Canis lupus familiaris: one gene and its partners. The protein of the gene in region 1 interacts with the protein of each later gene in a biochemical or structural test. Links are inferred from orthologs where the notes say so. Each region holds a gene or a part of one and is shown in the gene's direction. Other genes may lie near its edges.

Region 1 (7,434 bases):
TGTGGGGAGGGGCAGAGTGATAGTGATGAGAGGTGACACTTGGTGAGCAGTGCCTTTGCACCAGACACTGCCCTCATGTCTCCCATCCAAGTACTAACCAGGCCCGACCCTGCTTAGCTTCCGAGATCAGACGAGATCGGGCGCGTTCAGGGTGGTATGGCCGTAGACACTGCCCTCATGTCTTTATGGGGTGTAAGCCTTCATGGGGGGTAATATCACAGAGATAGACATTATTCCCATGTCACAGATGGGGAGACAGAGGCAGAGAGGGATCCATAGCTTGCCAAGGTGATAAACCTTTGAGGAAGTGGAGGGCAGGGTTTGAGGGCTGGTAGTCTTGGGACAGAGTCTTGACCCTGCACCTTCCCATCCCCTCCTTCCTTTCCTTGGATCTGCTGCTCTGCCCCCGGGGCCTGCCCAGGGATGTGCCCTGCTCGTGAAGTTGTTCAATGGCTGCCCGCTCCGGATCCACAGCACGGCTGCCTGGACGCACCCCTCCACCAAGGGTGGGTATTCAGAGGGTCTCCGAGAGCAACAGGGTGGGTGGGCAGGGCCTTAGTGGAGGCACAGAGGCAGAAACAGGGGAGGGTCTTCATAAGAGGGGGATGGGCAGAGCTGAGGCAGGACCTGAGCCCAGGGTTGGGGTTTGGGGATCACATACAGGTAGGATGGAGATGAATTTGAGGGTGGAAACTAGGAAAATAAGAGTCTAGGAGCCATGGGTGTCAGATATAACAGAAAGGTCAGAGTTTGAGATCTAAGGTGGGGGTAGTTGCAACCCTCTAACCTCAGTTAGAGGTTAATGGTAGAGAGGCTGGGGTCAGCATTTGGGGTCAGGAGTTTGGGGGTGGGAATGCAGAAAGGGAAGAGTTCGAGGGTGAAAGATGTGGAGACAAGGTCAGTGAGGGGTAAATGTTAAAGAAATGGCATCAGGGGCGCCTGGCTGGCTCAGTCGGTGGAGCATGCAACCCTTGATCTCAGGGTTATAAATTCGAGCCCCATTGTTGGGTGTAGAGACTACTTGAAAATAAAATCTTAAAAAAATTACTAAAATTTATTTAAAAAAAAAACAGCATTAGAATGTACAGGGGATGCATTGGACAGAAAAAAAAACACATTTCAAAGGGCCCAAGTTTGAGGATCCCTGTTGAGACAAGATTAGCATTTGGAGGCCAGAACTGGGAAGACAGATGGACAGAACAGAACATAGAGGGCTATTTAGGGAAGCAGGACTGATGTTTGGGTCAAAGGTCGTGGGGTGGGGGCGTCAGGATTTGTAGGATTTGTGGGTGCAAGCCCAAGAAGTAGGTGAGAATGAGACCAGCTCAGGGAACTGGGTCAGGGTTTGAGTTCACATTTGGGGAAACAGGAGCTGGGGATGTCAGGTGTGGGAGTAAGAGAGAATTGAGGGTCAGGGATGGGGAACAGACTACCAGTGTTTGGGGTCAGTCATGTGGGGGTCTGGGAGGCCTCCTCCAAGATGACATAGGTCCTAGTGTCCTTGTGTCTGTCTCCACAGACCAGCACCTGCTCCTGGGGGCAGAGGAAGGCATTTTCATCTTGAACCGGAATGATCAAGAGGCCACGCTGGAGATGGTGAGGCCAGAGCCTGGGGGGGGGGCTGGCATTGGGGGTTCCCAGGGTCTTATGGGAGCCATCTCCTCCATTCTCTGCAGCTCTTCCCTAGCCGGACCACCTGGGTGTATTCCATCAACAATGTCCTCATGTCTCTCTCAGGTCTGGCTGTGGATTGGGTGGGAGGAGTGGGGTCAGAAGCTAAAGGGTTGAGAGTCCGGGGGTTGGGAGATACATGGGCACAGCTGGGGGAGAAAAAGTAGGCTCCCCCTTTACAGAGCCCACAGTTAAAATCTCAGTCCTCTTTTTGAGGTGGGACTCTATCTGTGTTTCCCTATCTGTAAATGTGGTTCACAATAGTCCCACCTCAAGTCAGTTTTGAGGTAAGATCCACAGTAAGTCTTGACATTTCCTCGATGTATAGATGCCAATGAGAACTTATTCCACACGTTACTGAAATGGGGTTATAAATTAAAATTTTGTGTTTCTGTTTTAGAAACATTTGGTGTAAAAGAACTTCTAATGTATAGGAGAAACACCAAGCAAATGGGCTTCTTGAGTTAGTTATCATGTCTGTGACGACAAATCTTAGGAGAATTTCTAGATAGGTTTCTCCTTAAACTTAATAACGTGCATAACTTCATCTGACTGGTTAAATGTCCATAGGTTCTCACGTGGCTGAGCAAGCACGGGAAGATAGGGAACACCTTTATCTTACTCATTAGTCACCAGAGCCAAGCACAGTGCCTGTCCTACAGCGGGCATTTAAAATACGCTGAGCGAGAAATGAACAAATAAAAGTGCTGAGACTTGAAGCCTTGGGAGTTTCAAAGGGATGGGGCCAAGTGAAGGGCCAGGGAAAGGTGGGAGTGTCTGGTGTCCTATAACTGCCTGCTTCCCCCTACACACACACACACTGCAGGAAAGACCCCCCACCTGTATTCTCATAGCATCCTGGGCCTGCTGGAACGGAAGGAGACCAGAGCAGGAAGCCCCATCGCTCACATTAGCCCCCACCGGCTACTGGCAAGGTACCAGCCCCCAGGGGCACCGCAGACCCCTGTAATTCCCCCTTCCTGCCGTCCCTCTGCATTTATGCACCTACTTTCTTCTGCAGGAAGAACATGGTCTCCACCAAGATCCAGGACACCAAAGGGTGCCGAGCTTGCTGCGTGGGTGAGAGAGAATCCCTACTGGGTGGACCTGAAGCGGGGGAGGGTGTGCTGGTCCGGGGGCAGGCTCGGGCTGCAGTGACTGGAGAGGATGGTGGGGTGAAGGCAGGCTGTCCAGAGTCTGGGGAAAGATGTGTGCCCTTTGGGGGGGGTGAGGAGCGGGTCAGGGAAGGGGAGAGAGGACTGACCCTAACCCATCCCTCCCCACCCCACAGCGGAGGGTGCGAGCTCGGGGGGCCCGTTCCTGTGCGGGGCATTGGAGACGTCCGTGGTCCTGCTTCAGTGGTACCAGCCCATGAACAAGTTCCTGCTGGTCCGGGTAGGGGGTCTGTAGAGGCTGGGGATTCTGAGGTTCAGTGGCCAGGGGCTTGCACTCCTTACTACGCTTCTGCTGAGAGCTTCGGGAAGCCCGGCTTCCACCCAGGCCCCGCCCACCTGCGGCAGGTGCCCGGAGGCTCCCCCTCCTGAGGGCCTCTGGAGCCTTAAACTCCTCCTGTCACCCAGCCTAATTATTTTGCGGGCCCTACGTCCCACCCCCATCCCACCCCCGGGTCTCCAAGGAGACCCCACTCAGACCCTTTGAGTCTAAGGAGACTTTGTTGCCTTTAAAGGGGGCACGACCCCAACAGAAGCCAAGCCAACTCTCATTGCTAAGGAGGCGTCACCGCACTCCTCTGGGCTCTCACCCCCTGAAGTTTCTAGACCGCATCCCTCCAAACCGAGGGCCCGGGGGAAATACTCGCGAAGACCCCCGCGGGCTCTCCGCGTTCAAGCCCCGCCCCTCGGGCCCGCCCACCCAGGCCCCTCCCCTCGGGCCCGCCCCCTGAGCCCGCCCCTCTCCGTGCGGCCTGCAGCAGGTGCTGTTCCCGCTGCCGACGCCCCTTCCGGTGTTCGCGCTGCTGACCGGGCCAGGCTCCGAGCTGCCCGCCGTCTGCATCGGCGTGAGCCCCGGGCAGCCGGCGAAGTCCGTGCTCTTCCACACCGTGCGCTTCGGCGCGCTCTCCTGCTGGCTGGGCGAGATGAGCACAGGTGAGGGGGCGGGGCTGGCGGCGGGGCGGGCTCTAGCCCGCGGTGGATTGCGAAAGGGGTTGAACCCGGGGCGGGGGCAGAGGTGGAATTCATACACCTGCTGAGGTTGTCCGCGCGTCGGGCCGCGGTGATAGGCGGCTTTGGCCCGCGGGCTGGGGAGTGGAGAGGGCGCCTAGCGGGGGAAGGCAGGATCGGCGGGACTGGCTTTCGAACCTCCCTCCTCTTGTCAAATAGAGCACAGGGGACCGGTACAGGTGACCCAGGTGGAGGAAGACAAGGTGATGGTGTTGATGGACGGTAAGGACCTCCCCTTTCCTCCACTGTTCTTGGATATCTGCCTCGCAGACCCTGTGCTGCTCAGGAATGCTGAACCCCTCCAGGCCTTGCCCGGGTCCTGCTTTGCTTCTCAATGAATTTATTCTCCATCCTCTGACCCTCACTCTTTTTTTTTCCTTTTAAGATTTTATTTATTTATTCATGATAGACATAGGGGGAGAAAGAGGCAGAGACACAGGCAGAGGGAGAAGCAGGCTTCATGCAGGGAGCCTGATGTGGGACTTGATCCCAGGACTCCAGGATCGCGCCCTGGGCCAAAGGCAGGCGCTAAACCGCTGAGCCACCCAGGGATCCCCTCTGACCCTCACTCTTAAAGCCCTCTCTCGGGGCGCCCGAGGGGCTCAGTCGTTAAGTGTCTGCCTTCGGCTCAGGTCATGATCCTGGGGTTCTGGGATCAAGCCCCACATCAGGCTCCCTGCTCAACGGGGAGTCTACTTCTCTCTCTCCCTCCCTGCCGCTCTGCCTGCATGTATGCTCTATTTCTCTCAAATAAATAAATAAAATCTTTTTAAAAAACAACAAAAGTTGGGCAGCCCGGGTAGCTCAGTGGTTTAGTGCCACCTTCGGCCCAGGGCATGATCCTGGGGACCCGGGATCAAGTCCCACATCGGGCTCCCTGCATAGAGCCTGCTCCTCCCTCTGCCTGTGTCTCTGCCCCTCTCTCTCTTTCTGCGTGCGTCAAAAATAAATAAAAAATCTTTAAAAAATATTAAAAAAATTAAAAACAACAAAACTCTCTCTCTCTCTTTCTCCTCTTCTAGGATCTTTGAAGCTGGTGACCCCAGAGGGAGCCCCAGTCCCAGGGCTTCGAACTCCGGAGATCCCCATGACTGAAGCAGTGGAAGCCGTGGGTATGTGCAGGGCTGGGAGGCCCCCCCGCCTGCCCAGAGGGGAGGCTTAGTGATACCCAAGGGTAATGGGCACTGCTTTCCTCCCAGCTATGGTCGGGGGTCGGCTCCAGGCCTTTTGGAAGCACGGAGTACAGGTGTGGGCTCCAGGCTCAGACCAGGTAAGCTTCTCCATCTGACCACCTCCAACCCTGCCCCTCCCCTGTGGTTCTTCTGGTTCCGCAGATGGAGCAGAAGTATTGAGTCAGGGTGTGGAGCCCTAACAAGAAGCTTCCTTTAGTCTCAGTTCAGACAGGTCCTCTTCTTTTTAATTTTTTTTTGTATTTTTTAAAGATTTTATTTATTTGAGAGAGAGTGCATGATCCAGGGGGAGGGGTAGAGAGAGAGAGGGAGACGCAGACTCCCTGCGGAGCAGGGAGCCCTACATGGGGCTCAATCCCAGGACCCCAGGGTTATGACCTGACCAAAGGAAGACATTTAACCCACTGAGCCAACCATGCATCCTTGGCCAGGTCCTTGTCTATACCCCAGGGTCTCTTGGGTCCAGAGGTCATTACAGGCCACTGTGTGATCTTGTGCAAGAGATTTTGCTTCTCTCTGAGCCTCAGTCTCCAACTATCAAAGGGGGCCGGTCACTAAAGAGCTACGTGGGTGGTTAAGAGCATGCACAGACTGCCTGGGTTGGAATCCGGCTGATTGACCTTAAGCAAATGACTTAACTTTCCCATGCCTTACTTTCCTCATCTGGAAAATGGAGTGAAAAATGCTCCTTAGCTCATAGAACACTATGTTTCAGACAGATGCTGCCCCTATATGTTTGTATTTTATTTAATCTCCACAATCACCTATCAGGAAGGTCCTGTGATTTCACAGGTTAGTAATCCGAGGCACAGAGAAGTAACTTGCTTGGGGTCACACAGCTGGTGAATGGTGTTAGCAAGAATGATTATTTCTGGACCTAGGACTAGAAGTTCAGAGACCCCCCCTCTACACCCCATTCTCTTTAAGGGAGAGGGGAAGAGTCTTCTAGATACTGACACACACACCTTTTCCCCAGCTGTTGCAGGAGCTGAGAGACCCTACCCTCACCTTCCGTCTGCTTGGCTCCCCCAGGTATGGACTTGGGGAAAGGAACACAGAGCCTGGGAGGGGGGCTTCTGATGTGGAGAGGTGTCTTGCGATGTCTCCAGCCACCTGTATCTTTGGCCTGGACATTCTCTCTCCTGGTCTCCCTGCTTCTATCTCTGCCCCTTATAGTCTATTCTCCACAGTGCAGCCCAGGGGGCATTTTTGTTTCTTAATTTTTATTTTCACTTTTTATTTTGGCATAACTTTTGACTCACAGAGAAGGTGCAAAAATAAATGTAAAAATTCTTAAATCTTTGTATCCCCTTCATTCATCCAGATTCCCCAGATATTAACATTTTGACTGTTTTGGGGGTATTTTGTGTGTTTTGTTTTTGCCATGTTTGATTTGTCTTCCTCTTTCATATGTATATGATTTTTTTCTGACCATTTGGGTGTGAAACAAAGACCTACTCCTGCAGACCACAACACAGCTGTCAAAATTAAGAAAATGGCACTAAGACTTCTCACTGCCTTCTAATCCACATGCCCAAGTCTCACCAGTTGGCCCAATGATACTCTTTATAACCAAATAACAGTACTTTTTTGGGGGGTCCAGGAGTCAATCCAGGATGATGGGATGCATGTAGGAGTCAGGTTTCTTTCATCTTTAGCCTGGAACAATTTTTCAGGCTTTCTTTGGTTTTCAGGACCTTGATACTTTTGAGGAGTACAGGAAAGTTGTTTTCCAGAATATTCCTCAGTTGGGTTTGAGGTTTGAGGTTAAGCATTCGGGGTAGGAATACTCCCAGAAGTGATGGCTTGTCTTTCTCATGCGTCCTATTAACACATGTCTGTTTGTCCCATTATGGGTGATGTTCTCTTTGAGCATTGGGTAGGGTGCAGGTTTTACAGCAGAAAAACCTGCTGTAAAGCTACTCTTTGTATTAATAAGTATCTTTTGGGGTGATTTGTTGTGAATGTGTAAATATACTCTTTCTCATCAGACTTTCACCCACTGGTTTTAGCATCTATTAATGATTTCTGCCTGAATATATTATGAGGAGAGTTACTAAATGGTGAATTTCTATTTCTGCACTTATTAGTTGGCATGCTCCTGTGGAGGAGCTTGTCCCTTCTCCGCCGTGTGTGTGTGTGTGTGTGTGTGTGTGTGTGTAATTTCAGCACAGCCTCATGGATTTCCATTTTATTCTGGGGGTTAAAATCTATTCCTACCATTCTTTACTTTGAGATGCAAGAACTCCCACATTTAACCAGTGAGAACCCCTTCAGGGATCTCTCATGACCTCTTGACATGCCAGAGAGGTCTTTTAAAATCTCAGTCCCATTATGTCACTCACCCTCCCAACCCCCATTTAAAACTACTGTGGCCTCAAGATAAATACCCA
Region 2 (8,156 bases), on another chromosome or scaffold:
TAACCGCTGAGCTACCCAGGCATTCTGACAGGGTCTGTTTGTTTGTTTGTTTGTTTTTAAGACTTTTTTATTATTTGAGAGAGAGAATGAGAGGGAAAGAATCTGAAGCAGACTCTGCACTGAACACAGAGCCCGACACGGGGCTTGATCCCACAACCTCGAGATTGTGGCCTGAGCGGAAACCAAGAGTTGGATGCTTAACCGACTGAGCCACCCAGACATCCCAGGAAGGTCACATTCTTTGTAGGGCAGATCTCAAGCTTATTAGGTGTGTGTGTGTGTATGACGATTTTAGCTGCAAATCCTGAATGTATGAAGGGGAGAGGAGGAGGAGAAGAGAAAGGAAGTAGGGGCAGGATGGGCTTGCCTTCAATTTGTCCCAAGGCCACTTCTGTTCCTACCATGTTGTCCTCTCTGTGCTCCAATAAAAACACATGTAAGTAGTCCCTTGGGTCAGGGTCTCCCCTCCTTGCCAATCTCCTTGCTTATTATCCATCTTGGTTATTCTTTTTAAGATTTATTTGTTTGTTTGTTTATTTATTTATTTATTTATTTATGATAGACACAGAAAGAGAGAGAAAGAGGCAGAGACACAGGAGGAGGGAAAAGCAGGCTCCATGCCGGGACCCCGACGTAGGACTTGATCCCGGGACTCGATCCCGGGACTCCAGGATCACGCCCTGGGCCAAAGGCAGGCGTTAAACCGCTGAGCCACCCAGGGAGCCCCTCCATCTTGGTTATGATCTATTTCTTCCCTTCCTCCCTCCTTCCCTTCTCTCCTTCCTTTCTTCCTCTTTATTTTGCCCTTATTCTTTTCAAGTCCATTTTCTGTAATCAGAACCCACAAGCAGTCTCTGGGTAAGGCCCCGCCTCAAACCTCCGCCATTCTGGAGAAGTGAAGAACAGACACCTCTCTTTCCCAAAGAGCCAGAATTCACACTGGGATGGCTTCTGCTACTGGCTTGTGGTAACAGGCTGTGACTAAGCCAGGGTCACAATGAGTCACAGCAGGGAAGGTGCCTTCACTCCCCTTCCCTTCCCAGAGCAGGCCCAGGGGTGTGTGCAGTAGATCCGGAAGAGGTGTGTTTTTCATGTAAGATCAAAATCCAGGGCTGATATATTTTTTTTCTTTAATGTCTATTTCTGCCATCCTCCTCCAACCTCCTGTCCTCATCAATGCCTATTCCAGCATTGGCATTGCTGAGGATACAGCACCGTGACCACAGCTCTCTGCTCCTTCTAGGATTTGAATACCAGCTCCCTACACAGCAGCTGTGTGTCTCTGGACAAATAACTTAACCTCTCTGAGCTTCACCTGTAAAATGGGGATAGTTGTAAAATACCACCCATGAGGCTGTTAAGAGGATTAAATGAGATGATCCATACTAAAGGCAGTTAGCGCTATGCCTGGCAGGCAGTATTCCCTGAATAAATGGTAGCTGTTGTAACATTTATGTAGTGCCTCCTACACTAGATGTGTGGCCTTTGAGGAGTTCTAGTGTAGGACACAGACAGACCTGTGAATGAAGGATTACAGTACAATGGGTAGGAACTGTAATGGAAATAATATGGACACAGGGCTATGGATGCAGAGAGGAAGTAATAGTTGGTTAAAAAAGGGAAGACAGGGGGATCCCTGGGTGGTTCAGAGGTTTAGCACCTGCCTTGAGCCCAGGGCGTGATCCTGGAGTCCCGGGATCGAGTCCCACATCAGGCTCCCTGCATGGAGCCTGCTTCTCCCTCTGCCTGTGTCTCTGCCTCTGTCTGTGTGTCTCTCATGAATAAATAAATAAATAAATCTTAAAAAAAAAAGAAAAAAAAGAGAAGACATTTGAGATTCAGATCCAGAAAGGAGTGAAAGGGTATTCCAGAAAAAAGAAACACAAGGTTCATGTAGGAGCTGTTAAGAGGACACTGTGACCTCATTTTATGCTGTGACCTAAACTGGGAATTTTAAGTTCTGGAGACTGTTGTTTGTTTGTTTTTTTAAGATTTTATTTATTTATTTATTCATGAGAGACACAGAGAGAGGCAGAGATGTAGGCAGAGGGAGAAGGAGGCTCCCTGCAAGGAGCCTGATGTGGGATGCGATCCCACATCCCAGAATCACCCCCTGAGCCAGAGGCAGATGCTCAACCACTGAGCCACTCAGGCGTCCCAGTTCTGGAGACTGTTAAAAGTTGTGCACAGGGTAGGAACAGTCTTAGAGTTGTAATTTAGAAAGCACACACTGTCAGATGTGTGCAATGTACTTAGAGCAGCAAGTCTATAGGGCACCAGTGAACAGGCTGTTCACAGGAATACAGATACAGATATGGAATACAGAGACAGAGATCATGATAGTAAGGAGAATAGAGGATACCCCTGGCCACGACTAGTGTTTAGAAGAATCTGGGCAAATGACTTGAAAGACTCAATCCAGAGAACTCCTGGCTTGGCACATTCTGCTCTCTCTGTCTTGCATGCTCTTCCCCTACTGGCCATTCAACATTCAGCTCAAGCCACCTCCTCTGGTAGGTGGAGGACTGAATCCCTTTACAGACTGGGCTGGAGCTCCTGGTTGGTTCCCTCTCACAGTGCTTGGAATTCCTTTGTCATTGTTCCTGCTTCCTCCCACTGGTCTGTGAATTCTGTGAGGTCAGGGCCCAAACCTTGATCACCTTTGCACCCACAGAGCAAATGTGGTGTCAGTAACTGCTGAGTCAATCAGTGCAAACAAAATACTTAAGCCAGTCTAGAGAGAAGATGGAGGAACCACCAGAAAAGGACCAAAGTCTCCAGGAGCTCAGGCCCTGAGGCCACATACATCTTTTGTAGTCCAACTGTGTCTCGGAGTTGCTGCCTAGAATTCCCGGGCCTTCCAGGAACTCGAACCCTGGAGCCGCGTGGCCAAAACCGCAAACACAAACCTCCGCCGACTCCTCGCTGAGCCCCTACCACCGGCCCTGGACTTGGCCCCTCCATCCCCTGCAGTCCCGATCCCCGCCAGGCGGCGACGCACACGGCGGCGCATGCGCAGTGCGCACCCGAGCTGTCCTTTGCCCTTCTCCCCATGGCGGGTTGCGGTCCCCTTCCCGGCATCCTCGCGGGGGCAAGGTGCGCGTCATTTCCGGTGGGGAAGGCCCGCGGCCGCCGCCGCCATTTCGGGCACTGCTGTGAAGCTGAGACCCGAGCCGGTCCGCTGGGCGGCGGGCGCCGGGGCAGGAGGGGCGCGCGTGCCGGCGGCGGCCCAGCGTGTAGGCGCGGAGGCGGCCATGGCGGGCAACTTCGACTCGGAGGAGCGGAGTAGCTGGTACTGGGGGCGGTTGAGCCGGCAGGAGGCGGTGGCGCTGTTGCAGGGCCAGCGGCACGGGGTGTTTCTGGTGCGGGACTCGAGCACCAGCCCCGGGGACTATGTGCTCAGCGTCTCGGAGAACTCGCGCGTCTCCCACTACATCATCAACAGCAGCGGCCCGCGCCCGTCTGTGCCACCGTCGCCCGCCCAGCCTCCGCCCGGTGAGGACGGACGGGACGGGACGGGAGGCCCCGGGCGGGGTGAGGGCCGCGGAACTCGCCAGCCTGACCGGCTGCCCCTCGCGAGCTAGCCTCCACGAGGGACGTGGGCAGAGGGCTGGAGCGACCCTGGCATGGGGGTACCTTGGTGCCCGGGCTCGTTCCCACCACTGGCGGTTGTGTGTGTGTGGAGGAGGAGCCGCTGACCCAGGCCTCTGGGTGTGACTTGGGAGGACAGCCCAGGGGAAGGGGAACTGCTTCGGCCCCAGGGTGGGGCTAGCGCCGGGGCCAGGCACTAGGGCAGGGCGGGCAACGTGGGGACAAAGAGCGGAGGGGGATATTGGCACTGCGGGGGCATCACTTGGCAGCGGTTCCCAGGATGAATTCGATAATCCTACAAGTGGCTTTTTAGGCTTGAAACATTTCCTGTACTGTTAGAGAGCCGGGTTTGGTTTGGAGAGCTATTCTCCCCTGCTGGCCTTTGATAGGAAGTCACCACATACTAGCCCGGAGGGATGGAGACACCCTCAGGAAACCGGTCAGCTTTTTCCTTTCTTGGGCATCTTTCCAAAATACTTTTACTGTCCTCTTCCCCCGCGGAGGACGAAGGTGGTGAGCTAAGTGCCTTGGTGACAGAAGTAAGCCCTCTGTGATCAGCCCAGAACAAGTTGATGTCCAGCTGACCGTGTCCAAGAGATCTTGGCGTCCAGAGACTCTTTTCCACAATTAGAGGGTTCTAGTTTTCAGGGTATTTTGTGGAGGACAGATTCTATGCCCCCACACCCCTCCCAGGAAATAAGCCAGTGGAAACAGTCCCTTCCTTGGAAGTGAATGGAACTTCCAATTTCATTGGACTTAAGCATTGTCAATGTCATATGTCAGGGCCTCTTGCTCAGTAAGTTGGGGCTGTGGCCCTTTTCTTTCTTAACCAAGGATCACTGAGATGTGACTGTCCTACTTACGCCTTTAGAGCTGTTTGGAGAATGTTAAGGAGGTTCATGCACTTAGTACTTGAGATTTGTGAAATACAGAGTAATTCTGAGGTTATTGTCAGATTACCATCATCTGTGTAACAGCACCAAGAGTTGTAGTCTTTCTCATTTTTCAAATTGAAGCAGTTTTCTTCTGACCAGCTGAGGCTAGCTCCAGGCCAGTCTCATAAGAATTAGGAGCCTCCTGAGCCAGCCTTTGCAAACTTGCCCTTTAGGGATAGTCCTAATTTAGATTCATTCACTCTGGCCAGAAATAGGGAGATGGGATAGTCAGTCTCTGTTGCTAACACGTATCAATTATAGGAAGAGTATGAGATCTTTAAATCCAGGAAGTATCCTAGGTCTTCTCAGTCTGCTTGGTTTAATTTTTATTTTAAGATTTTATTTATCTATCTATCATCTGTCTATCTATCTATCTATCTATCTATGAAAGACACAGGCAGAGGGAGAAGCAGACTTCTCGCTGGGAGCCCGATGCAGGACTCAATCCCCAGACCCAGGATCATGCCCTGAGGTGAAGGCAGTCACTCAACCGCTAAGCCACCCAGGCACGTCCCAGTCTGTTTGGTTTAATAGCATAACATGAGACAGGAATATTGATAGAACATAAATTTGCCCTAAACCCGATATGTTGTGCTTTTCCTTTTTTTTTTTTTTTTTTTTTAATTTTTATTTATTTATGATAGTCACAGAGAGAGAGAGAGAGAGAGGCAGAGACATAGGCAGAGGGAGAAGCAGGCTCCATGCACCGGGAGCCCGATGTGGGATTCGATCCCGGGTCTCCAGGATCGCGCCCTGGGCCAAAGGCAGGCGCCAAACCGCTGCGCCACCCAGGGATCCCTATGTTGTGCTTTTTCACCACCTTCTTGGTATCTAGGGTTGTGCATTACAGTGCAGTAATATGTCAAACTGTCACTGAAATTCAATTTTCAACCTCCTGCACCCCCAGTTTTCAACCTTTTATGTATGCGTTTTGCAAAATTTGGAGATGACAACAGGCAGGTTTGCTGGTTTGAGCTTTCTACACACCTTTGTGTTATGACTTTATATCTCTGCGCTTACCTTGATATTGAGCTCCACCTTTTCATAACAGATAGGAGTTCAAATCCTTGGCTCAAGAGAGAAGGTGAAGATTGCCAGAGTTTGTGGATGGGGTGTGGAAAGTTCACAGGCATTGTGTTAATTCTTGTTTCTGGTAATGTGCCCAGTTTTTCACATAGAGCAATTGATTGAGTTGCTGTCTTTATAAAGGTTACTTAGTCTTTGTTCTCCTTGCTTCCCCGTCAAGCTCTTTTCTTTTTGAAACTATACAGAGGAATTTCTTTAATTTTAGAAAAGCGTGTAGAGTATTAATAGCTAACATTTATTGACTGGTTATTCTGTGCCAAGTACTTTGCTGAGTACTTTCTGTGCCTTGTCTCATTTTCTGTCTATAACAATCTGGTGAGAAATACTGTAATCTCTATTTACTAAAATATTTTCATTTTATAGGTGAGGAAACAGAGAGATTCAGGAACTTGCCCAAGGTCACACAGCTGATAAATGACTGAGCCAGATTTTCAACTTCGGAATTCTGACTAGAGAGCTGACACTATTCTGTACTTCTTTCTCTTTCCTTTTGAGATCTGAACAGTGCTCATAGAAGATTTGTTTCTGTCACAGGGTCCTATGTTCTGTTTAAAGACCAAAAGGAAAGGATGACCAGAAGAAACTAGCTTTAGTATTTGGACAATACATGTCTTTTATCTAAAAGTCAATGATGAGGGACGCCTGAGTGGCTCAGTGGTTGAGCCTCTGCCTTTGGCTCAGGGCGTGACGATCCCAGAGTCCTGGGATTGAGTCCCCACATCAGGCTCCTTGCATGGAGCCTGCTTCTCCTCCCTCTGCCTATGTCTCTGCCTCTCTCTGTCTCTCATGAATAAATAAAATTTAATAAATAAATAAATAAATAAATAAATAAAAGTCAATGATGAGGCTTTTAAATCCTTATTTGGCAAATTGAAGATGAAAAATGAACTTTTTGCTTAGGATTATATAGCATATTTTGTGGACATAATACATGGGTAGAATTAATATGGAATGGCTCAGATACAGTTTTTAGAGGCATGGGGTAGGATGGATCGGATATTTTTAACCTTTTCTGGTGAATCTTTTTATTTTATTATTATTATTTTTTAAGATTTTATTTATTTATTCATGATAGTCACACAGAGAGAGACAGAGAGGCAGAGACACAGGCAGAGGGAGAAGCAGGCTCCATGCTGGGAGCCCGACGTGGGATTCGATCCCACGTCTCCAAGATCGCGCCCCGGGCCAAAGGCAGGCGCCAAACCACTGCGCCACCCAGGGATCCCTGGTAAATCTTTTTAAATTAGATGTGTAGCTTCTGCAGGCTGCCATAGTCTGGGAGCACCCTGGTTGTGCTTCAGGGCTATGAGGCAGAGCTTGGGCAAGTCTACTGGTCATACTCTGTCAGGTTGGACTTCCAAGGTAGACCTCTTGGGAAGGCTTTGCAATCATTGCTTCATACATTTCTTCAAACAATGAGGTATTGCTAGACCTTGGCCAGTAGACAATCAACAAAACTGAACAAGTGTGAGCTGGGAGAGTAGTTATAAGTTTGAGCCCTGGAGCTCGGGTTTGAATCTTCCTTACGACTTAACCACTTATATAACTTTGGGCATGTTCTTTAAATTGCCTCTGCCTCAATTTCCTCATTTGTAAAAGAGAGGAAATAATAATATTGACCTCATAGGTTTGTATTGAGGATTAAATGAATTTTAGTGTATTAAATGCTTAGGAATGGGGCTAGCATGTAGTAAATACTTAGTATTAGCTGTATTAGTCTTATGTACATACATAACTATGAGATTGGGAGAGCAGGAGTTGAAGAAAAATGGAAAACTGTTCTCAGCATTCAGAGGCTCATAGGCAGGCATGGTGTGGGTTGGTGAGCACTGATAAGATAGCATGTGTAAGAGAGTAAGTGCTGGGGTGGAGGGGTTTGGAGTGCATCAAGAAGTATGAAAGGACCTTGGATCCAAGACATAGAAATATGATGGCACTTGTTGTTACCTGCCTAACTCAGAGCCTTCTACCTATTGTTCTAGTGGGTGAGGGGCAGAAATTAGAGTGGTTATTGTTTGTGTTGCCTCTGCAAGGTGGTGCTGGACCAAACCACTCTCTAGAGATCTAGTGGGACTGTTCATTACCCGTTGTTGCCTTTTTGTACCTCCACCGTCTGTGTTTCATTTGTGTACCTCATCTTTGCAGTTCTCAACCCGGTCCTTGTGTTTTATTCCTCAATTACAGAAAGTATCCCTCCATCCAGTGGTTCTGGAGAAGTTCTTCAGTGAGTTAATTAAAGGTTTACAACAGAAAAAGGATTTCATGATAAAAGAAAGTAGATTTATTTATTGCAGGACTTCCCAGCCTTTACTATGCTCTTGTGAAAGTATGACCCTCCCAAGAGAGGCAGGCATTTGACCAAGAAGCATCTTGAGATACTGTAAAATCTTCTCTGGGAAACAGTACAGAGGACTTTGGGTTTGGCATTAATCAAACATTTCTAAAGGAATTGAGAGGTTTAGGCAGGATATTAAGCTGAATTTGCTTTTGATTAAGCACCTGTAATGTTCCAGCAACTTTTAGGAATTTTATTACATTGGTGTT
Region 3 (8,070 bases), on another chromosome or scaffold:
GTCTTTGGAATTTTTTTTTAAAGCTTGTCTCAGCTGTGCCAAGGAAGAGTAAAGAAAAGCACTTTCACAAATTTATTGTGAAAAATTCCAAACATACAAAAGTAGAATGCTATAATTAACACTCCCCACCCTGACTTAAACATACATCATGTCACCTAGGTTTAACAGTTATCAACACAGGGGCATTCTTTTTTCCACCTTTATCCACACATTCCATTCCCCATTTTGATCCATCTGTAATGTTGAAATTTTTCAAGAAAGGATAATGGTACTTTGGCAGTAGGATGATAGTGGAGTCTGAAATCCAAACTGGGGTCAAATCCAACCACTCTTCTGTATTCTGAGATTGATACTCTTTCCTGCTACTAAAATTTACTTTAGAAGACCTCAGTTTCCTCATCAGCAAAACAAAGAAAATGACATTATAGTCAGTTGTGTGACAATAAAGTGAGACTTTTAAAAAAGATTTTATTTATTTATTTGACACAGAAAGAGAGAGAGAGCACAAACAAGGGGGAGCAGCAGAAGTAGGCGCCCCTGCTCAGCCTACTCGAGGACTTGCTCCCAGGACCCTGAGATCATGACCTGAGTCAAAGGCAGACACCTAACTGACTGGGTCACCCAGGTACACCTTAAGGTGACTCTTGGACTTCGAGTCAGAAGACCTGGCTTGAGTGCCACTCTGCCTCCTGCAAATAACATAATTTTTAATACTTTATGTCAGCAAGTCACTTAACCTCTCTGAGCTTCTGGATCATTTATAAAAAAGGACTTCATGGGACTTTGGTTGGGATAAGTAAAACAATGTATTATGTGAACTTTTGTGAATTGGAAAGCACTATATAAATTAGGTATTATTGAGTTCTTCAGTTAAGTAAAAGATGACTCAGATTTGAGTTTGCAAATTAGAAAAACACTGACGCAATTGACAGAAAAGGGGAAGCTGAAAGGCACAATTTAATCCAAATGGAAGCTTGTCTTGAACATGGGGGTAGACTTAGGGCCAAATATCTATTTTAAATACATATATTATGTTAATTAACAGGAAATAGTGACAGGATCTCCAATCAACCTTCGCTTTTCTCTGGTTTCTTCTCATCCTTATCCACCTACATTCAAACACTATTTATTAAGCATATATTATGTGCTGGGCACTGTGTTAGGCACTGGAAATACAGAAGATAATAGTAAAGTAGGCAGCCCTCCAAGGAGCTCTGAGTAGGAAGGGAAAGAAACTTATAAGCAATCACAATGGAATGTAATAAGAATTTAGGCTGTGACCACAGTGTTTGCATAGAAATCATAGGGTGTGGTCAGATTTTGTTCTACTCCTAGAATATAAGTGTTTCAGAGTCACTAACAGATAGGTGGGTGACTCCTGAAGCCTTCATGATTAGCCTACCAAAGGAGAAGCTATAGAGAGATTAAGGGCTGAGCTTCTACATATAGAGGCTGGAGATAAAAGTGCTATCAAAAAAGACCAAGAAAGCGTATTTGAAGAGGTAGAAGAAATTGTTAGCGACCCAGAAGCTTGAAAAAATAAAAAATAAAAAAAGGATTCTTGAGTCACCTGGGTGGTTCAGTCCATTAAGTATCTGTGCCAGAGACCTGGGATGGACCCCACATGGAGCTTCCAGCTCAGCGGGGTGTCTGCTTCTTCCTCTTCCTCTGCCTATCCCCCCTGCTTGTGCACATATTCTCTCTCTCAGATAAGTAAATAAAATCTTAAAAAAATAAAAATAAAAGGTTCTTTCCAGAGATTTTCTATATAGACACATAGAGCCAGGGAGATCAGGGAAAACGATAGGGTCAATGGAAATCAGTGATGATCTCCAGAGGTCAAAGTAAGAGCAGAAGGCAGATGAAGGCTGGGCAAGGAGTGGCTGATGATAAAATGGTAAAATCTGGTAATAAAAAGGTAGTTCTCCCGACCCTCACTGATCCATTGAGAGATCTGCACACTTTTAGGCTATGGAGGTGGGAGCCCAAGTAGAGGCTGAATAGTAATAATAAAAATCTCTTACATGAGGTTTAATACGTGTCAGGCACTATTAGCTTGTTTAATATATGAGCCATGGCCCAAGGTCACCCTAGCTAGTCAACTGGGAGCAGAATTTGAGTCCAGTCAGTTTCAACCTGAGAATAATACATGACAATATTGGGGTGGAGGGGATTGAAAACCTGCTTATGCTGAGTCACAAAAGGCACTAACCCTTGACATTTCCCCTTTAGCTTACCCTAAGCTGGATATCACCCATCACCCTAGAATTAGGTGTATGTTCAACCTGAGGGCTGCAAGCGCCGAAATGAAACTCCACTGACAAAGGGATCTGTATAGGTTTGTTATAGCCGGCGTCTCCCTTTCTTTACAGGCTTTCTCGTTTGTCCAGTTCTAGGGGTGGTGCTACCAATAATCGGGCACCAATAGCCTGAGGATTTTTTTTTTTTTTTCAAAAGTCAATTCATTCAACAAATATTTGAGCATCAGGTCAGGTCCAGACCTTGTGCTAGGCCCAGAAGCGAGCAAGACAGACAAGATCCCTGATCTCTTAAAATTTCATCGCGGGGAGGGGAGGCAGGGTGGAGAAACAGGCCACCACGACCGGCCGAAGCAGGTCAGCCAGGGGGCGGGCATGCGAGGAGATTAGCTCGAGAAGCTGCAGAACTGGAGCCGGACGAGATCTTCGGGCCACACCCGGGGGAGTCCGCATTTCATCAGTTAAACGCTAATGATGGCCAGATTGCACCAAAAGGTGGACTTCCTCGGGCCACTCAATCCTGTCGCTCCGACCTTCGCAACCCCTTTTTGCGGCTGTCGAGTTTCCCGGCCACTCTGGGTCCCTGAGCCTATCAGGCCACCTCGGCTTTGGTCACGTCAGCCCCCGCGGTCGCGTCCTTCCAGAGCCACCTCGACCCACCGAGGCGTGTCCGCCCGCGGGTCTCCCTCAGCGCGGGTCCCCCGGGGCCCCTGGGCCAGCCAGGTCACCTCAGTGCCACGCCTCCACGGCCAGAGGTTCTGCATGCACGTTCTGCTTTGTTCGCGGAGCAGGTTTTCGAAACGCCGCTCCCTCTCGACTCCAGCTGTTTTCCAGCCGGAGCTGGGGGGGAGCCCGCAGCGGCAGCGCCCCCGGCGGCGCACCGCAGCCCAGGAAGGGAGTGGCCGTTACCGCCACCTCCTCCTCCGCCGCCTCTACCTCCTCGCCTCCCCCGCTTCCCCGGCCGCCTCCGCCTCCTCCCGGAACGCGGGAGCGGCGGAGCGCGGCGCACGCCCCGACCGTCACGACCGCGCTCCTGATTGGCCGCGCCGCGCGACGTCACGGGGCGGGCCTGGGCGGCAGCTGAGAGCCAGAGCTCGCGCGTGCGCAGACCGAGCGCGCTGAGCGGAGGGGGAGGTGGCCGGCCGCTTGTCCCGCGTCCGCCATTTTGTTGCTGTGGCTCTTGGGAACGGGCTGGGCGAAACCGCCCCGGAGGCGCGACGCTCCTGGGAGTCCGGTGCTTCGCGTGGCGGCGGGTATCAGTGCAGAGCCGTGGGGGGCGCGGAGTCGCGCGTTCCGGGCCAGGAGTGGCTGGAGGCACCCCCGGTACGCCGGGCAGCCCCAGAACCCCGGGGCGGCCTCCGCTGCGGCTCAGCTTCGCCCGCCCCGACCTCGGGCTGTGCCCTGCATTCCCCGGGCCGGCTCCGTCCGTGAGGCGGCCCCGGAGCAGGCGGGCGGCGGCAGAGGATGCTGCGGGCCCGGAGCCGAGACGAAGGTGCTGGCTCGGCCCTCTAAGCGCGCCTCGAGGTGTGCCAAGAGGCCCTTCCTTGGCCGCAGAGCCGTCTGTCGGGCGAAGGCGTCCAGAACAGCCGAGAGCAGCCGCCGCCCCGAGTCGCCGCAGAGCCCCGGCCAGACACCATGTCCTCCGCCAGGTTCGACTCCTCAGACCGCTCCGCCTGGTACATGGGGCCGGTGTCTCGCCAGGAGGCGCAGACCCGGCTGCAGGGCCAGCGCCACGGAATGTTCCTAGTTCGCGATTCCTCCACCTGCCCTGGGGATTATGTGCTGTCGGTGTCCGAGAACTCGCGGGTCTCCCACTACATCATCAACTCGCTGCCCAACCGCCGTTTTAAGATCGGGGACCAGGAGTTTGACCACTTGCCGGCCCTGCTGGAGTTCTACAAGATCCACTACCTGGACACCACCACCCTAATCGAGCCCGCGCCCAGGTACGCGAGCGCCCGCACTCCCCGCGCGCACAGCCCCCCTCGGACCGCGGCGGAGGGTCGAGAACAGCAGGGGCTGGTTCGCGGGGGATCGACCGCCGGGTAGGGGGTGGGGGGAGCGGGATTGAACTCCTTTCACCCCATTCTGAACCAAATTGTTTTCCAGAAGGCATTCTGATCGGAAGGCTAGTGCCAGGGTCTGGGTTGTTGGATGAGGGGATGGGTTTTAAACCTGTGTAACGGCGGTTGCCTGGTTAAAATGCCCGCTTTGTGCCGTTCGTCACATTATCTATTGGGTTATCCTAATCGAGACGTTTTTGTTGTTTTTAAGCCTTTTTTGTTTTGTTTTGTTTTTTTTTTTGAGAATCTCAGGGCAGCTGTGGCGTTCTCCCTCCGTAAAAATGCACGTACACACAACTTTGCACACCGTTCAAGGTTCTTGGGCTCCCTGCTCCAGTTTAAGAACTCTTGGACTGCAGCCTTTGGAATAATCGACAAATGAAAATGCTTGAGCGTTTAGGAACAAAACCTTTCACAGTGAAGTGGCGGAACTATGTAGGATACCTTGGTGCTAAATTTGAATTACCTAGACACCTTTTGTTTTATAACTAACACATTTTATTTTATTTTATTAAAGATTTTATTTACTTATTCATGAGAGACACAGAAAGAGAGAGGCAGAGACACAGGCAGAGGGAGAAGCAGGCTCCATGCAAGGAGCCTAATGTGGGACTCAAACCCGGGAACCCGGGATCACACCCTCAGCCAAAGGCAGGCGCTCAAGCGCTGAGCCACTCAGGCATCCCAACTAACAGAAATTTTAAGAAGATGATGCATTGGCTTTAGCGAGGACGCATTTTTTTTTTTTAATTTTTATTTATTTATGATAGTCACAGAGAGAGAGAGAGGCAGAGACATAGGCAGAGGTAGAAGCAGGCTCCATGCAGCGGGAGCCCGACGTGGGATTCGATCCCGGGTCTCCAGGATCACGCCCTGGGCCAAAGGCAGGTGCCAAACCGCTGCGCCACCCAGGGATCCCCGAGGACGCATTTTTTGAGTTTTTATTTTATAGTTTATCCCCAGGGTGGACCATTAATAGGCCAGAAATGTATTTGATTATATTCTAAAGAAGAATGAAGCTAGGATGTAAATTACTAAGGAAATTTTTGAGCGATACTTTAATTCTGTCCTAGTTTAATTTTAGGTATACCTTTTGTACATTTGTAAGTTTAATAATTTAAAGCAAGCAGCATTCTCTTTTCTAAGTAAATGCATTATTTTATTTGATTACTTGCTTTAATTTGTCTTTAGTATTTTTTCACGTTTCTTTTATTTAAATTATGTCAAATTTGAACTGAAGAAATTGCTTGGAATTTTTTTTTAAATAAAAAGTATTTTGCTGTCCATTTTGGTTCTTGAACTTATGTTTAAAAGGAATAGGCTGCCGGGATCCCTGGGTGGCGCAGCGGTTTGGCGCCTGCCTTTGGCCCAGGGCGCGATCCTGGAGACCCGGGATCGAATCCCACATCGGGCTCCTGGTGCGTGGAGCCTGCTTCTCCCTCTGCCTGTGTCTCTGCCTCTCTCTCTTTCTCTCTGTGTGACTATCATAAATAAATAAAAATTTAAAAAAAAAATTTTTTTTTAAAAAAGGAATAGGCTGCCGATATAGATTTTTTTTTTTTTTTTGGAATGACCTGTTTCTGATTTTATAGATTTGCTGATAAGATGTTGCACTGAGCTTTAACCATTAAAAGCTATAATAATTAAGGAGCACCCACTGGATGCCTAAGTGTTGCTTCTGTGGAGTAAGAGAGAAGAAACAAAGCCATGACAGTATAATGACTATAAGATTAACTGCTGAACTAAATGGACTTTAAAAACTGGGAGAAAGTGATTATAAATCAAATAGTGTTATAACAAAGGCCTAAGCACCAAGAATCTGATTGGTGAAATCTCCAGGTCCCCAAAGATGCTGGTAATTGGAGTTGACGTGGAGCATGGTATATTCTGATATAAGAGGTTGGAGAGAGTATTAGAACCAACTAAAATGAGATTTTTAATATGTTCAAGTGATTACTTCTCCAACTCATGGAGGTGAATTATATCATTAGTTTCATGCACTAAGCCATGCTATATGTGCAAGGCATTGTGCTTGCTTTGAGGTAACAGGTACTATAATACAGCTGTTTCAGAAGGTGTGAGTAAATGGTTTGATCCCCTTCTAGGGACTAGAGAGAGAGAGAAAGGAATAATGCTGCAGACTAGAGAGAGAAAAAGGAATATGCTGCAGGGGTTCCCGTGACCCAACAAAAACAACTCCACATTTTTCACACATGTGTCTTCCCAGATACCAGACATAACTTTCTGTTATTCCCCACCTTGTTCTTCCCTTAGTGCAGTCCCGCTAGGCAACTCACTTAATTCCTGGTAGCCATTCCTGCGTACCTTCTCACACCTTTGTACCTTTGCTCCAGCTGCCAGGTGGGCTGCTGGCTCTTCAGTTGACTGCCTAACCCTACCCCACTCCTCACCTATTGAAATCTTAGCTGCTGTTCCAGACCCCTCAAATAATGGGGCCTTTCCCTGACCCTCCCACTTACACGCAGCTGTAATTGTTTCTCCTCTTCACTGTCTGCCCCAGGCATGTTGCTGTAATTTAGTTTTTTATTTTCTGCTGGTATCTCAGAGGGCGATCACAATTCTGGTAGAATTAGATGCAGACTGGATTTACTTAATCTTTGAATTGTCTTCCTCAAGCCTGAAATCTGAAGATGGGTTTGATATTTCAGCCTTTGTAGAAAACTAGAGGTGCCATGTAAAGCCTTGGCCAAATGCAAGTCAGTTTAATGCTTCTTCACACCCCAGACAAGATAAATCAAGTGGTTTAGTTTTCTAGGCAGCAAAACTGAGCTCTTAAGGCCAGAGTTTCATACCCCTTAGGTAAAAGTTCATTTTAAAATTTTGCTTAGTGAAAAATTATGACTGTATGACTTCCTCGGAATTTAAGGATTGATGCTTGTTTTCTAGTCTGATCTTGGAATGTTATTGGAATCTAGTCTGTTATTGGAATAACATTTAGTTTTATATATTTTTATAAGGTTTTATTTATTTATTTGAGAGCAAGAGAGAGCATGAGCTGGGGGAGAGGCAGATGGAGAGGGAGATGGAGAGGGAGAGCGGCAGACCTCCCCACTGAGCGAGGAGCCCTATGTGAGGCTGGATCCCAACACCCTGGGATCATGACCCAAGCCGAGAGCAGACATTTAACCGACTGAGCCACCCAGGCACCCCTAATTTTATATATATATTTTTTTTAATTTTATATTTTTATTTAAATATTTACAAGAGTTATATCCCAGTGATAGGGACTGAGAGCAATGAATGTCAGATTGTCTCTATTTTACTGGAAGAGACAAAACTGAAAAGTAGGAAAATAAGTAAAAAATACTTACAAGATTAATAAATACTATGAAGGAAATGAAGCTGAGCAGAGAATATAATAGGAGGGACCTACCTGACGTAGTGTGATCAGAGAGCACAAAGCTACCTAAGGGTAGAGAAGAGGCAAGCCTTGGGAAGGCTTGGGCTAAGAGTGGAGGAAGAGCTTACAGAAAGTCCTGAGATGAGAAAGATAGCCACTGAGTTGGGGGTGTGGTACTTAAATGAATGAGTGGGGTCTAAGAAGAGTTAAGAGATGTAATGGTCAAGATAAGGAAATTGGATTTTATTTAAAGCACAGTGGGTGGGGGGGATCCCTGGGTGGCTCAGCGGTTTGGTGCCTGCCTTTGGCCCAGGGCCTGATCCTAGAGTCCCGGGATTGAGTCCCACATCGGGCTCCCTGCATGGAGCCTACTTCTCCCTCTGCCTAT
Region 4 (7,557 bases), on another chromosome or scaffold:
TAGAAATACAACTGATTTTGCCTGTTGATCTTGTGTCCTGCGACTTTGCTAAATTCACTAGTTGGTTAGTACTGGGAGAGTTTTTGGGTTGTTTTTTGGGATTTTTTTGTTTGTTTGTTTGTTTTGTAGCTTTTAGAATTGTTTCTGTAATCAGTCATGTCATCTGCAGATAAGGAGAGTTTTATTTCTTTTCTGATCTATGTGCAGTTTATATCCTTTTCTTGCCTTGCTGAACTGGCTAAAACTTGTAGCGCTTTGTTGAGTAAGGATAGTGAGAGCGGATATCTGCCTTGTTCAGGATTGTAGGAGGAAGGCATCTGTCTTTCACCATTAAGTATGTTGTTAGCTATAGGGTTTTTGTAGGTCCTATTTATCAGGTTGAGGAAGTTCCCTTTTATTTCTGTTTTTCTGACAACTTTATCATGGGTGTTGAATTTTGTCAGATGCTTTTTCTGCATTGAGTAATAAACTCGTATGATTTTTCTTAGCTTGTTAATGTGCTGAATTATACTGATAAATTTTTGAATGTTGAACCAACTTTGCGTCCCTAGAAAAATCCTACTTGGTCATGGAGTATTAATTCTTATCATATACTGCTGAATTCTATTTGCTAATATTTTGTTAAAAATTTTTGCATCTATATTAATGAGGGATATTGTTTGGTAGTTTCCTGTTTTTATACTATTGTCTAGTTGGGACGTCAGGTAATATCAGTTTTGAAGATAAATTGGGAAATATTTCCCCTCTACTATTTTCTAGAAAGGATTATGTAGAATTGGTGTAAATTATTTAAATAATAAAATAATAATAATAATAATTCTTTAAACAATAAATTTAATTAATTAAATTTAAATTAAATTTAAATTTTTTGGGGGTAGAGTTTTTAAGTTATGAATTTAATTTCCTGAATAGATTAGGGCTATTCAAATTATTTCATATTGAGTGTGTTTCGGTAATTTGTATTTTTTGAAGAATTGGTCCATTTCCTCTAAGTTGTCAAATTTATGTGTGTAGATTTGTTTGTAGCATTCCCTTACTATCCTTTTGATGGGAAGGAGCAGCTTTGACTAACTCAAATACAGTTTAGAAACTAGAGTCAATCCCCAGTAATCACATGGCTAGTGCAATAATAGTAAGGTGGTAACTAGAAGGATAATTGGCATATTGTTAGGAAACTAGAAAGTTCTAGGTACACAACCTAATGTCATGTCAACTCTAATTTTCTATAGAATGTCATTTGTTGGTTTTACATGATTATTCTTCTAGATAAATTTTAAAGTCAGTTTGTCAAGTTTCAAAATTAATTCCATTGGGGCCCAGGATTAAATTTTATTTAATTTGTAGATTTTATTTAATTTGTGCAGGTTCCCACAGGGAAGGAATTAGAATCAGTCTGCAAATATGCTTGAAAAAAAAACCCTCTCTGCCTTCTATTGCCTCAGAAGGCCTATCACTCATTGTTGAAAATTTTTTGCATCATGTGCTAGTAATTAATTAGACTTGGTTACAACTTTTTATTTGCAAGTAATTTTAAACAGAAAGGTTACAAGGATACAAACTGATTTTTCTGGTTTCTCTGTTCATTGTTTTTTGAATACCACATCATTCTCCTATTTTAGCATTATTAATTATTCACTGCTGTACATATTAGAGTCATTCTTTCAGAAGAATGTGCAGTAGGTTTTGAGGCCTTGTAGTGCCCCACCCCCCCCAAAGGCATCTGCGTTTTAAACGCAAACGTTATCTACACTTGAATGCTATTGGATGTTGAATTCAAGATTAAAATGCATTTCTTGGGATGCCTTCAGCTCAGTCAGTTAATCTTTTGCCTTTAGCTCAGGTCATGATCCCAGGGTCCTGGGATCGAGTCCTGAATCTGGCTCCTTGCTCCTTGCTCAGTGGGGAATCTGATTCTCCCTCTGCCCCTCCTCTTGCTTGTGCTCTCTTTTTAACATTAAAAAAAAAAAAAAAAAAAAACTTAAAATGCATTTCTTTGAGGATATTGAACACCTTGCTTTGTTGTTGAGAAAAGAGAATGCTATTCAATATCCAAAACTAAAAGCTGAATTTATTTGCTTGGTAAGCCAGAGGTAACTGTTTATGTAAAATAATTTCTGAAGAAAGCAGGGATCTCATCTAATAAATACAGGAATGAGTTAGATTTGTAGTTTTCCTTTCTTTGTTCTGAAAGTTTGTATAAATTGGAATTACTTGTTTTTTGGATTTTAATAGAACTTTCCTGTAAAACCATATCCTAATGTTCATTATGGGAAGATTTCTTAAATGACTGATTAAATGTTAGTACTTTTTTAATTTTTATTTTTCTATGAATTTGTACATTTCAGCTCATATTTATTGATAAAGTTGTTTGTAATATTGCCAGGTATTTTGAATGTGTGCAGAATTCTAATCATGACTCCCTTTTCATTCCTGATATTTGGGTGTGCTTTTTCCTTTGTTGCCAGAACTATGTCCATTTTGTTAGTCATAATAAAGAACTACCTTTTTGTTCTGTTGAGCCTTTCTTCTGTATCATTTCTTTCTGTTTAATGAAACTCTACTCTTATTTGTATTATTTCATTTTTTCTGCTTTATATTCTACTTTTCTACCTGTTTAAGACACACTCAGTTCATTATAACTTACTTTAAGGTTTTCTTATTTTTCTGCTGTAACTATTTACAACTAGAATCTCTTATACTCCTTTTGCTGTATCCCACAAGTTTGGTTATATATAGTCTTTTTATTATTTGACTCCTCTACATATTTTCACAATTCTATTATAATTTCTTCTTTGATACATGAAGTTTTTAAAAAGCTTTTTGTAATGATTGGCAGAATATGGTTGTAGGATACCAAGTACATGAAAGTTATTGAGACTTTTTCTCTATTGCTTAATGTTTGATAATTTTCACATATGTTTCATTTATATTCTTTTGGAAGTAATATTTGTATATGTTTATTAGATCAGACTTAATGGTTTTGATGTCAGTTCTTATTGAGCTTTAATAATTTTTTTGTCTCCTTGATTTATTACTGAGATAAGTATGTTAAAAATTGTCCACTGTGACAATGGATTTGTCCAAAAAAATTTTTTTTTTGTGGTTCTGTCAGTCCATTTTGGAACTATGTTAATAGACAGAGGTTTGGCTGTTATGTATATTTAATAAAGCCTTCTATTGTGTAGTGAAATTCTTTATTACTGATAATGGTTTGCCTTAATGGTTTGTCCTTTTTGTGTGTTATTAATATAGCTACACCATGTTTGTCTTAATTAGTATTTGATTAGTTTTAGTATTGCCTGTTTTTTTGTTTTTGTTTTTTCATATTTTTTCTTTCAACCTTTTAGTTCTCTTAGGTTTTTACACGTATCTTTTTTGAAAAGTATGTAGACTACTATTAAACCTTGTAAAAATATTGTATATGTTATTACAGTGCTGAAGCTGCTGAAAGATGGCAGAAGAAGTGGTAGTAGTAGCCAAATTTGATTATGTGGCCCAACAAGAACAAGAGCTGGACATCAAGAAGAATGAGAGATTATGGCTTCTAGATGACTCTAAATCCTGGTGGCGAGTTCGAAACTCCATGAATAAAACAGGTTTTGTGCCTTCTAACTATGTGGAGAGGAAAAACAGTGCTCGGAAAGCATCTATTGTAAAAAACCTAAAGGATACCTTAGGTAAGTTATTTTTGTGTTAAAACACCAACAATACTTTATTTAAAGTGGATGTTAGAGCTTGGTTCTTTGTATAGAATTTTGGCAGCATTGGGCAGAATTGAGTAGAGAAGGCCAAGACTAGAATTTCAGCTAGGCTAGGTACATTTGGCACATAGCACATTTTCAAGTCAGAAGAGCGTAAGTGTTAGTGAGCATTTTCTATAAATCTAGCTGCTGTTCAAGGGCCAAACTATAGTGGTGCTGATGAGCAGGACTGAGTCTGATCCTTTAGCCAGGACCTGTTGAACTGTGTGAATGCCTATAGGAGTTGAGGCGCAAATTCTGCATCTCATTGAGGCAAATAAATGAGGGAGATTCAGAATTGCCAAGGAGGCATTAAGGCAACTTATGACACATTGCTATATTTTACATTTAACAGCCTACATTTTGAATTTTGCTTTTAAAAATAAACCATCATTTTGTTCTTGTATTTGATAAAAGAGTTTCAAATTGTGGATCGATCATTACTGTAGATTAGCATCTACAAAGCCGATTTCTTTCTTATTTTTCTCCCCCCTCCCCCATCCCTTTTTCTTCCTTTAACTGTAAAGTTTGTTTTTACTAGCTCTCCATTAGGGCCAGAGATAATGGAACTTGCTTCACACCGGGCTTGGCTGAGCTGATAGGAAGGAAATATGCACAGATGAGGACTGGCCTCTTTCTTTTTTCTTTTAATTAAACTCTCCTTAGCTGACAGGAAGGAATGGGAGGGACAGAATTTCATTTTTGGTATTCAGGCAAACATGCTCTTACTTAATGGTTCTTTGTATATATGTAGACGAGAAAGTAAAATTTCTGCTTGCAAAGATAGTTTGGCAATGAGTAATATGGCATGATTGACAAATATGAAATATTATTGACTAACTGCTTTATATTAGCTTTATTTTTTATTTGACCTTGTTATCTAGAGTGCTCTCTCCGTTATCAGCAACAGAAGACAAATCTTTTATTTTTGACACTGTAAAATAGCCAAAACTAAAATATAATACAACTCAAAGTAAATATAAAATATTGGGATATTGTTTTGTGAGCAAATAACAATTCTAATATTCTAAAGGAGTTATTAATCTGAATTTTCATCATGACATCTAACTGCTATATCTGAGGATACCTTTTATTAAGATTTTAAGGTGTTGCAAATAAGACCAGTATTATTAGTTTTTAATACTAGTTTTTAAGTGAAGGACAAATCAGATTTTCCTCTAGCAGAAGAGACCATAGTTAGAACCAGGAATACTTGTGATTTTGTAAATATTGGACACTTACTTAAAGCATGTACATCAGAGGTACTGGGGAAAATTAAGGTAACTTCTATCAAGAAAGTATGCCTCATAGGAATGCAGGCACAGAAAGGATTAGGGTTACACCTAGATAGACTTTTTATTCCTTTTTAAAAGGATACTGGTATCCTGGGCAAATGTTTAAACAGAAGATGGTGAAAAACCTAATATCATAGAGCAAAATGGAAATATATCCCAGTTTTAGATACTACTGAATATAAACTTTAAAAAGCCCAACTAGAGAGAATTTTTATTATTTGTTGATATTCCTGGGAAACCTTTCATACTATTTTCTGATATAATTGAGACAGTTTTGGCAAGATTTTATATCTAAGTCATAGAGTATCTCTGCTAACTTTACTACTGTATTACAGTTATTGCTGCTTGTATTGCAGGATACTTGAAAACATTCTGTTTTAAGTTAATGATTGTTAGTTCTGTATAATGATGTAATTCTAGCTTTTGTATCAGAAAGCTGCCTCTTTCTCAGAATTTCTGAACTCCTTTTGGTAACTTAAATGTCCCATGTGGCTAAATGGATTTGTTTCACAGTGATTGTGCTGGTGGAGACAATGTTTGAAAGATAGAAAAGGGGAAACAAAGGAGAGAGTGAATGTATGAATATATATTCATTGAAAATGTATACTTTAAAGCTTTTTCCAAAATACGTCTGAATAATAAGGTAACATTCGTGGCCATGATGATATACTTGTTTTACAGATTCTGTTAGATTTCAGGGGGGAAAATGTTTTAGAAAGAGAGAAGCCTCAGAAAAATTCTCCCAGAAAAACTTTCTATTGCCTGGGTGTAGGCCAAGTCACATGGATTGGGTGTGGGGAGTTTCAGTGTTGCAGAACAGACCAGGAAGCTCACTGAGAATTATTCTGAGCTGTGTTAACTGACAAGAGAATACGGGATTTTTGTTCAAAATGGATTGGTTAAACGTCTTTAAAGACTTTTTCAGTAAGTTCATCTGTTTATTAAATCCATAGTTTTCTTGTAGTTTTTAAAGTAGATTTTTCGGTTTTGTGAATTTAAAGAAAACTGTATGGAACCTGGTGTGTTTATATAATAGGCTGGTGCTTTATATTGTTTATGAAACATAAGCTAAATGATTGGTGATAGTTCAGGTAATACTAGTTTTGACCTGATAAGTAATATAGTTTTGAAATGTTTTAGTATCAGTGTTTAAATAATAAAGAAAAAGATATAAATGAGTTCGCAGTTAGTTTTAATTTGGTAACTCTGAACTTAGCATAGACATTTGAAGTGAATTAAATTATAAACATTAAAAATATGAGGAAAAGAAAGGATTAGATGAACAAGTTCCTTCATCTTCAGTTTTGAATTAACATAATATTGTTTTAGTAGTTTTTACTTAGATTTTAGAGGAATAATGTAGAAATAACATTTAATAAAGCAGGAAAGAGAATGTTTTGATTTAATCAACGTAGGATTGGTAGAAATTGCTCTTTTGGTAAATGTGAGATTTGATATTTTGAAATGAGTCTTGAGAGCAACTACATACAAAGAAAATGAAAACAGTGAAAGGAAGTAGTGAATTACTGGGATTGTTTTGAGTTCAGGTCATAATGTAATACTGATACTAATTTACCAGAACCCAATGTGTATATTTGCTCTTGGCCTTTTTATGATCTTATGATAGTGAACTTGATTTGATCTTTTTGAACATTTGTTTAGTGTTTCTAGAAAAATGAACAGAGGAGTTGTTGTAGAAGTCTCATGCATAAGGAATTTAAGGAAACAAAGAGTAACCTGTTGAGAGATTTCATTTTCTTTTTTTTTTTTTTTTTTTTTTGAGAGATTTCATTTTCAAGCAGAATTGTAAAGGAGTAAGTAATTTGTTGAGAAAGAATGTCATAATTGTAATATTAAGACTCATTTGTTTCTTTAGTTAATTTTGATGACCAAGTGAAATTCTTCTGGAATATATCTCTTGTGTTTACTTTTAGGAAAGTTAATGCATTTTTAGATCCACTTTTTGGGGTAGTTTTCCTTTTGGAAATTTATTTATTCATTTGTTTATCAACATATTTTTCTTGAGAGCCTACTGCAAGCCAGATAAAAATCATAGGGTGAAAAACTAGTACTTTCATAGAACTTATATGGTGAGGAGGTAGATGAGGGTTGTTATTTAGTATTAAAATACTAAATAAATGAATTTCATATCTCATTTTGGTCATAAGTGATGTTGACTGTAAATCAACCAGAAATGGTGTAAAAAGAATATATCATTGATATGATGATTCATTATATACCATCGATAGAATAATAAAATTATTCTTTCTATTGTCTTGCAAAGTTGGTAATCTTCAATATATTTGTAGACCTGAGGGTCAGGGTATGAGATTTGTAACCAAAATACTCCTTTTTTCATTACCTGCAGGAAGCCCAAGTTTGTATTTATTTTGCTTTGAAGTAAAGGTACACTATATGTGCTCCTTATGTGGTGGCTAAAATAAACAAAGAGGGTACAGTATTTTAGGTAAAACAGAAAAATCAAAAATAATAACTTATTTTGTATAGATGAAATAACATAA

Evidence for each region.
Region 2: the proteins of MAP4K1 (region 1) and CRK form a complex in vitro, tested with the Homo sapiens proteins (2 studies listed by BioGRID). The link is inferred for Canis lupus familiaris from reciprocal best matches to the Homo sapiens genes MAP4K1 and CRK.
Region 3: the proteins of MAP4K1 (region 1) and CRKL form a complex in vitro, tested with the Homo sapiens proteins (2 studies listed by BioGRID). The link is inferred for Canis lupus familiaris from reciprocal best matches to the Homo sapiens genes MAP4K1 and CRKL.
Region 4: the proteins of MAP4K1 (region 1) and NCK1 form a complex in vitro, tested with the Homo sapiens proteins (2 studies listed by BioGRID, with this or other methods). The link is inferred for Canis lupus familiaris from reciprocal best matches to the Homo sapiens genes MAP4K1 and NCK1.

What each region holds. Positions count from the first base shown.
Region 1 is NC_049222.1:115,284,428-115,291,861, forward strand, and holds part of MAP4K1 (mitogen-activated protein kinase kinase kinase kinase 1), read left to right. Parts: intron 1-50; exon of another isoform or gene 51-168; intron 169-421; coding exon 422-506; intron 507-1,519; coding exon 1,520-1,596; intron 1,597-1,676; coding exon 1,677-1,737; intron 1,738-2,497; coding exon 2,498-2,606; intron 2,607-2,692; coding exon 2,693-2,751; intron 2,752-2,962; coding exon 2,963-3,066; intron 3,067-3,601; coding exon 3,602-3,776; intron 3,777-4,010; coding exon 4,011-4,073; intron 4,074-4,873; coding exon 4,874-4,963; intron 4,964-5,050; coding exon 5,051-5,121; intron 5,122-6,017; coding exon 6,018-6,073; intron 6,074-7,434. UniProt on the Homo sapiens protein: Serine/threonine-protein kinase, which plays a role in the response to environmental stress. Appears to act upstream of the JUN N-terminal pathway.
Region 2 is NC_049230.1:45,568,629-45,576,784, reverse strand, and holds the start of CRK (adapter molecule crk), read left to right. Parts: upstream 1-3,147; 5' UTR 3,148-3,254; coding exon 3,255-3,495; intron 3,496-8,156. UniProt on the Homo sapiens protein: Involved in cell branching and adhesion mediated by BCAR1-CRK-RAPGEF1 signaling and activation of RAP1.
Region 3 is NC_049247.1:30,745,125-30,753,194, reverse strand, and holds the start of CRKL (crk-like protein), read left to right. Parts: upstream 1-3,360; 5' UTR 3,361-3,893; coding exon 3,894-4,204; intron 4,205-8,070. UniProt on the Homo sapiens protein: May mediate the transduction of intracellular signals.
Region 4 is NC_049244.1:33,869,318-33,876,874, forward strand, and holds part of NCK1 (cytoplasmic protein NCK1), read left to right. Parts: intron 1-3,433; 5' UTR 3,434-3,451; coding exon 3,452-3,677; intron 3,678-5,811; exon of another isoform or gene 5,812-5,925; coding exon of another isoform or gene 5,926-5,959; intron 5,960-7,557. UniProt on the Homo sapiens protein: Adapter protein which associates with tyrosine-phosphorylated growth factor receptors, such as KDR and PDGFRB, or their cellular substrates. Maintains low levels of EIF2S1 phosphorylation by promoting its dephosphorylation by PP1.